2 linked regions of the Ovis aries genome follow. The protein of the gene in region 2 interacts with the protein of the main gene of each other region in a pairwise test. Links are inferred from orthologs where the notes say so. Each region holds a gene or a part of one and is shown on either strand. Other genes may lie near its edges.

Evidence for each region.
Region 1: the proteins of VIM (region 2) and SMARCB1 interact in binary tests that used the Homo sapiens proteins (3 or more experiments, as listed by UniProt). The link is inferred for Ovis aries from reciprocal best matches to the Homo sapiens genes VIM and SMARCB1.

What each region holds. Positions count from the first base shown.
Region 1 is NC_056070.1:71,287,739-71,291,483, forward strand, and holds the start of SMARCB1 (SWI/SNF-related matrix-associated actin-dependent regulator of chromatin subfamily B member 1), read left to right. Parts: upstream 1-1,030; 5' UTR 1,031-1,218; coding exon 1,219-1,311; intron 1,312-3,745.
Region 2 is NC_056066.1:31,055,145-31,058,889, reverse strand, and holds the start of VIM (vimentin), read right to left. Parts: upstream 2,765-3,745; 5' UTR 2,618-2,764; coding exon 2,055-2,617; intron 1,415-2,054; coding exon 1,354-1,414; intron 1-1,353. UniProt on the Homo sapiens protein: Vimentins are class-III intermediate filaments found in various non-epithelial cells, especially mesenchymal cells. Vimentin is attached to the nucleus, endoplasmic reticulum, and mitochondria, either laterally or terminally.

The sequences.
Region 1 (3,745 bases), on a different chromosome or scaffold from region 2:
GATCTTCCCAACCCAGGTCTCCTGCAGAGCAGGCAGACTCTTTACTGTCTGAGCCACCAGGCAATGCAGGAGACCTAGGTTCAGTCTCTGGGTGGGGAAGACCCCCTGGAGAAGGGAATGACAATCCGCTCTAGTATTCTTGCTTGGGGAATCCCATGGCTACAGCCCATAGGGTGCAAAAAGACATGACGGAGCAAGTCACACACACACAAACACACACACACACACACCCTACACACACACACGCCCCTACACACACACACGCCCCTATACACACACACACACGCACCCTACACACACAGACGCTACACACACACACACCCCCCTACGTGGATGCTCATAGCGGCGCCTCTCATAGCTGCCAGGTATCAGGTGCTGACATGGGCAGCCATCAGCAGTGGGCCGTTTCTGACCTACTGCCGTGCTCCACCGGATACACGGGTGCCTCCCTGTGTGTCGGCCCGCTGGGCTGCCAGCGCCCCAGGGCAGGGGGAGGCACAGGGCACAGAGTTAAGGAGAGGACGGGGACGTTCGCTCCTCCCCAGCTCTCAGCGGGCAAAACAGACGCCGGCTGGGCCTAGGAATCCTGCAAGCCCGGTAGTCTCAGCCCATGCCCGCCCCATCCCCAGAGCCACAGGAACGGGGGCCGGGGGGCTGGCCCGGAGCTGGGATACTGGTCCCTGGGCCGCCCATGTGCTCAGCCGCACAGCGTCCTCTGGGCGGGGAAACTGAGGCAAGGGAGCCTCTGGCTTCCTCCCGGCCTTCCGGGCCTCGCCTCGTGCCTCCTCACCAGGGCAGCACGCCAGCCCCGGCTGTGAGACGGGGAAGGGCGCCGCTCGAGTCAGGGCGGCGGCTGCTATTTCTGCCCGTGAGCGGCCTTCCCTGGTACCTCCACTTGGGAGGCGGCCGGGAAGGCCGAGAAACGGGCCGAGGCTCCTTTAAGCGGCCCGCGGGGGCGCGCTCGGCCCTTTTGTCAGGGCGGCGACGGCGGCGGCGACGCGCGCGTCAGCGTCAACGCCCGCGCCTGCGCACTGAGGGCGGCCTGCTCGTCTTCTGCGGCGGCGGCGGCAGAGAAGCCCAGCGGCGGCGCGAGCGCCCCCGGCCCGGCCCGCCCTTCACCTCCCGCGTCGGCTTCCCCGGGCTAGGAGCGCCCCCGGCCCCGCCTCGGCCCTCCCGATCCTCGCAGCCCGGCCGTGGCCGCCCGCGTCTGCCGCCGCAATGATGATGATGGCGCTGAGCAAGACCTTCGGGCAGAAGCCCGTCAAGTTCCAGCTGGAAGACGACGGCGAGTTCTACATGATCGGCTCTGAGGTAGCCGATCCTTGCCCTCCGGGCCTCCCGGTCGGCCCGGTTCCCGCGGGAGCCTCGGGGCGGGTCTGCGCGCCGGGAACGCGCGTCTCCATTCATCGCGGAGGGCCTGCGTGCGCGTGCGCGGCCTGGCGCATCGGGGCGTGGCCTGTTGGGGCGTGGCTGAGCAGCCCCGCCCCCGCCGTCTGGGCACGCCCACCCGTGTCCCGCAGGGACGCGGTGGGCGGATCGGGTCGAGAGCGTGGTCTATCGGGGCGTGGTCGAGCAGGCCCCGCCCCGCGCTCCGCAGTCTGGGAACGCTCACGCGTGTCCCTGGCCGCGGGGGTCGCGGTGGCCCCGGGTCCGCGCTGAGTTCCACAACTCCAGCCGGACGTACAGAAACGGGGTGTTGGGTTATCCCTTGCTGCACACGGGGCGAGGAGTTGGACCCCTCGCACGCTCCCTCCTCTCCCTCGTTGCCCCAGCTGGAATCCTGAAACCGCTGATTCGAAACACCGAGCTTAGTCGGGGGCTCACCCGCTTGGTGCTCTTTGACTTGGAGTTGGGCGGGTGGGCGTTCTGATCTTCCATTATCAGTGAGAAGACAGGTTGGGAGAACGATGCTTGATTTTGGATGGCTAGGGCCCAGCCAGCCCTGAGCTAGATCCATCAGCAAATGGGAGGCACCTGGCACTTCGGCTATCTTGGACTAACTCTGAGTTAGTGCGAGGGAACGAGCGCGGAACCCCTTCATCCTTACCTAAACAGTGACCTTGCAGCACTGTGAGCCGGCTGGGTTAGCAGTGTGCACCAAGTATACGAAGTTCTTCCAGTGTCCCTCAGCCTTTGGCAGTCTCCGGCGTGTGCGTGTGTGTCCACACACACATTTTAAAATTACGGATCCGCAGTTCAGGTGTGCAAGCGCCGAGCAGCAGTGCCTCCCTTTTGTAGAGAGGCGAGTGCGGGTCTTGGGGAGTTACAGCAGTCACAAACGCCGCCGACGCTTGCTTCTCCTGGCAGCAGTTTTCAGTTTTACGCATTTCACTCTTTTGTTCTTTTTTACCATTTTTTTTCCCTCTTCATGATGGAATACGCTGTGAATGAATTAAGCCTCATGATGGTCACACTCAGTGAGGCTTTCGGGAGTCCCTGTGACTCCCTGTGGCTTGTCTGACTTGTATTGAGTTAGGAGACCCATGTTGTCAGTAGCATCAGAACTTTCTGTGTTTCCTTTCCTCACCGGTTTTTATGAAACACGGGGCCGGATGCAACGTACTTTCACATTATCACAGAAACGCTCCTCTTGACAGCTGGCCGTACTGGAGAGAGGCGCCACTGCCTGCCACGTGCCGCAGCTCAGAAGGGTCTTCGCCAGCCTGTGGGCACGGATGCGGCATGTGGTGACTGGCAGGTTAACTAAAGAAACCTTCACCGGATCTAACGGGCAGGAAGGAAAAGCGCTTGGTTTAGCACTGGCTCTGAGTCGGTGGTACTTTTGAAAATCAAGCTTGTGTTTACTGGGTGGAGCCCGGTGTCAGGTGGGCAGAGCGTGAGGAGCTCTGGCTCCAGCCTGGTGTCCATGGCACTTGTCTCGGGCATCTGATGAGATGCTTAGGCTAGACAGCTTCTGCAACTTGCCCTGCAGCACATCTCAGACTGAGAAAGACAACTGCAGTCTTGGTGAGTGAGAAGATTTGTCCTGAGATGCAGTTTATGGAGACCAGACGGCAGGAGGGAGAGGCAGTTGCCGTCCGGGGCCTGACTTTACAATGTTCAGACCTCAGGAGGCCTGGGCAGGGTTCAGGGCTAGACTGGCATCTACTCACAGCCAGCAGCTCTTCTGACAGCAGGGGTGCTTGGCCCCCGGGCGGTTTCCCTGGGCAAACAGCAGGCGCTGGTTTCCAAGAGGCACGCCAGGCAGAGCAGTGCCTACAGCGCCCCACACCACTCGGGGTAGCAGCCTTGGGAGGGTGTCTGCAGCTGCCCCAGTCCTGCCCCCCCCAGGGGCAGCTGTCATCACCACACAGAGGCACAGCCGAGGGGAGCCCAGGGGGCCTCCATACCAACACCTTCGTTTTCCATTTGGGAAACCCAGGTCCAGAGGGGGCAAAAGCTTGTGCAGGGAAAACCCAGGGGGCAGACTGAGTCCCCTGAGTTCTGAAGGGACCTCGGGAAGGGCCTAGGAGGCTGGGAAGCCTGCAGGACCTGCACGGTGGTACTGGGGGCATTAGGGTCAGTGTCTTGTCAAAAACCTCCTAGAAACTCTATGTTTACCCCCAGATGGTAACCACGCTCAAGCCAGGTAACTCGAAAGGGCCTGCCCCTGCAGCAAGGAGCAGGAGGGACGTTGTGGCCGCTCTCTCACGCTGTTCAGCAGCCGTGGTTGTGTAAATCTCTAAACTCATGAAAAATGGAGAAACTAAAAAAGAAAAATACTATAGTGGGGTAGGTACATGGG
Region 2 (3,745 bases):
ATAATAAAATGATCAGTCTTGGGAAAAAGAATCATTTTTGCTTGTTGTTAATCATTGCAAAAGATAATATCCTATTCTCAATTTTCAAAAGTTCTATGTGTTATTATACTTCTTTGAAGAGAATATGAGTGGTTTTATCTAATCCCTAAATAGGAGGAACAATTTATACTAATATTATTTTATATGAAGTTACTACCGGGGAAGAAAACATTACAGACATGATGATCAGAAATGCTCAATGACTGAAATAAACCACACATTTCTGTGTTTAACTTGATAAATACATTTCTGCTTCAAAAAGTATTCTAGACTATTTGCTTGAGGGAGCTTTTAGAGCCAGTCCCAGTGAGGGTTCAGGAGAATAAAACTGCTGGCAACTAATCTTCTTTGGGATCCAACTTTAAGTTAAAAATCCTTAAAGGCCATCTATCTTTGGAGCAAGAAAACCATTTTTCTTAAAATCCTATCCTTCATTTTTAGCTTTATTCTTTATGGAGAAAATGCTAAAGAATACAAGGATTCAAAAAAGGAAGGCCTTTCCAAATGTGAGGTAGGACTGCAGCTTTAAGAACTTTTCACATCACATACTTCCAGTCTGGGCCAGATATTAGATAACGGGGGTGTTAGCAAATACTTGTGTCCAATTAGAACAGTGCTTGCATCATTACATATTCAATAAGAATGTAGCCTGTTGCAAAGCGTCTCCAGGAACACAAAGACTCCTATTCTTTCTGACCAGAGCCACCACACTTGCCAGAATGTCTGTATCTACATTCCATAGTGAAGTCCGTAGAAACCATTAATACCTTTCAGCCAAGGGGACAGATGGCTCCTTTTCATCCTTATTAGATCACAAATTAGTTGTGCATAGCGATACTTCTGTCTAACCTTGGGGCCACAATAGAACTTGCCGGCAAGAAAATAAAATTTCTGGCTCCACTAAGTTTCTTATCCTCCCATCCATTTCACATCTAAAACTACAGGGCAGAATTGTGCTTTTTGTGGCCTTGTAAAAGGTAGTCAACTTTGGCAAAACCGCAACCTAAATCAAACTGTAACTCTTCAAAATCAAAATATCAACGTGTTGCAAACACGAAACGGAAAAAAAAATGATTTCTTGGGAAAAGAATCTTGAAACAAATTAAAAAATGTTAAAGACCATGTCCTACGGAACGGTTTAATCATTCAAGGGCTTTTATCCAGAACTGCGGTCTCTCTGCCACTAGGGGGCTTGGCGCGCAGACGTGAAGTTTTGTATGATTCAGACTTGGGTTAAGAAACTTTTAGAATTGCTCGTGGGTTGGGCGGGAGGGTGGCGTCCCGTGGCTTCGAGTAGGAACGGAATCTACCAACCTGTCTGAAAGACTGCAGAGTGCTCTCGGCTTCCTCTCTCTGAAGCATCTCCTCCTGCAACCTGAAACAGTTTCAGATTAACCACAGGGGAACCGGGAAACCGCCAGGGGCGGGGCGACCACACCCAAACACCCAGTCGTGGCGCAGAGACCCAAGGGTTGCTGCGCCACCTCCGCGCTCAATTAGCGACCGCGGCTTAGACCTGCTGTCCTAGGCAAGTTTAAGCGGGACCTTGGCCTCTGCGTGGAAAAGCAATCACTGTCGCCACCCCGACCTGCGAGACGCCCGCCACCACCTCACCGCGGAGACTCTACAATCCCTTTGTCTCGCTCTCTCCACGGCCCGTTGGCTGGCAGCCAGCCAGAGGGGGACAGGAAACTTTCTCAAAGTTTGGGGAAATCGCGTTCATCCTTTTCTAGGGCCTTAGCAGCAGCAGCAGCAGCAGAGTACACAGTGGTAGTTTTTAAAAGTCTGCAACTTGAAACGTGCGTTCTTGGGCAATGAGTCGGGGTAGAGGGAAAATGCTAACTTGGAAGATTCTGGTTCAGGGCGGGGCCCGCACCGCTTAAGCCACAACCCTGCTCCCCCGCTGTCCCCCACCCCCACCCCCGGCAGCCGCCGCCCGGGCCACATCCCCAAGGGCGTGGCAGCTCCGGTATCCACTTCATCCCTCCCTCAGCCCCGCGTGGGCGCCGCCTTACTTCTCCCGGAGCCTCATGATGTCTTCGGCCAGGTTGTCGCGCTCCACCTCGACGCGGGCCTTGTCGTTGGTGAGCTGGTCCACCTGCCGGCGCAGCTCTCGCATCTCCTCCTCGTAGAGGTCCCCCAGGCGCGACTTGCCCTGTCCCTTGAGCTGCTCGAGCTCAGCCAGCAGGATCTTGTTCTGCTGCTCCAGGAAGCGCACCTTGTCGATGTAGTTGGCGAAGCGGTCATTGAGCTCCTGCAGCTCCACCTTCTCGTTGGTGCGGGTGTTCTTGAACTCGGTGTTGATGGCGTCGGCCAACGAGAAGTCCACCGAGTCCTGCAGCAGCCGCACGCCGGGCACGCCGCTCCGCAGGCGCACAGCCGAGGAGCGCGTGGCGTACACGCCACCCGGGGACGAGGTGTAGAGGGTGCGGCTGGTGGAGGGGCGCAGCGCACTGCCCAGGCTGTAGGTGCGGGTGGACGTGGTCACGTAGCTCCGGGTGGAGCTCGGCCGGCTCGCGGTGCCTGGGCCGCCGAACATCCTGCGGTAGGAGGACGAGGACACGGACCTGGTGGACATGGCTGCAGAGGGTGGCGGTGGACTGGGCGACTGCGGTAGCACGGACTGGCTCCGGGAGAAGAGGCGAGCGCGAGGGCGCGGTGGGTGTGGGCAGAGGGAGCGGTGCTGCGTCTCTGGCGCGGGGAGCCCGGAGCGAGAGTGGCAGAGGACCGGACCCCGCGCGGGGCGCAGTTTTTATAACCGCGTTAGGTAAGAGGGTTCCCTCCCACTGCCATCCCGGCGACGGAGTGCGCCAGCCAATGGGGAAGGCTGGGCGGGGGGTTGGGGCGGGGGCGCCCCGGAGCCGTCCTCCTCCCCCATCTTCCCCAACGGGGACTGAGCACAGCCCCGTTACTTCTTAGCTGGGCTGGGACTTTCAGGGGCTTTCCTGATGGTGGCCCGAGCTCTGCTCACCTCTGGGTGCTGATAAAGGAGGGGTCGCGCAGTGGTGCAGGGGGAACCCGCCAGGACTGGACCAGAGGGGTCCCGGGCTCCGCGCCAAAGAGCTGTAGGAGGAGGCGCGCGGGTGGGAGGGGCGCGCCGCAGCTGGGTTGCGCTTTACTGGGAGAGAGAGGATGCGGAGCCCCGCGGGCCAAGAAGCAGGAGGAGGGGGAGTGCAGGATCCCGCAGAACTGGAGGCGTGGAGAAAGAAACAAAGAGGGCCTGAGATTAGAGCGCGAGGTGGGGGCGCGCACAGCTCTGGACGCAGGGCTTGGGCCCCGCGCAGGAGTGTGTGCACAGCCCGCTTCGAAAGAGGATCTGATGCGGACCCCGTCTCTCTTCGTCCTCTTGTCTTGGGAATTCCTGTTCAGGGACCTAACGGACTGGGTCCCCTTTGGACGGTGCGCGCTTCGAGGCGGCGGCCGAGGAAAGCCTGGGGGAGAAGGGTGGGGTCGCTGAGTCACTGGCACTGAGTCACTGCACCCGGCTGTCCCGCCGAAGGCTCCTAGCGGTACAGGGAAACCGTTAGACGAGATTGACTCCAGCCTCCCCGGGCCTGCGCGCACAGTTTGTCGAAGTTTAACACAACTTCGAGCTGGGCCTCAGCTTTCTCGTGGGCAGTTCGCCTGCGTGAAGACTAGCGCGCGCCTGAGTTCTTAAGAACCCGACAAAGCCAGATTTTGCTCCGATATGCAGGCTTCTCTGTAG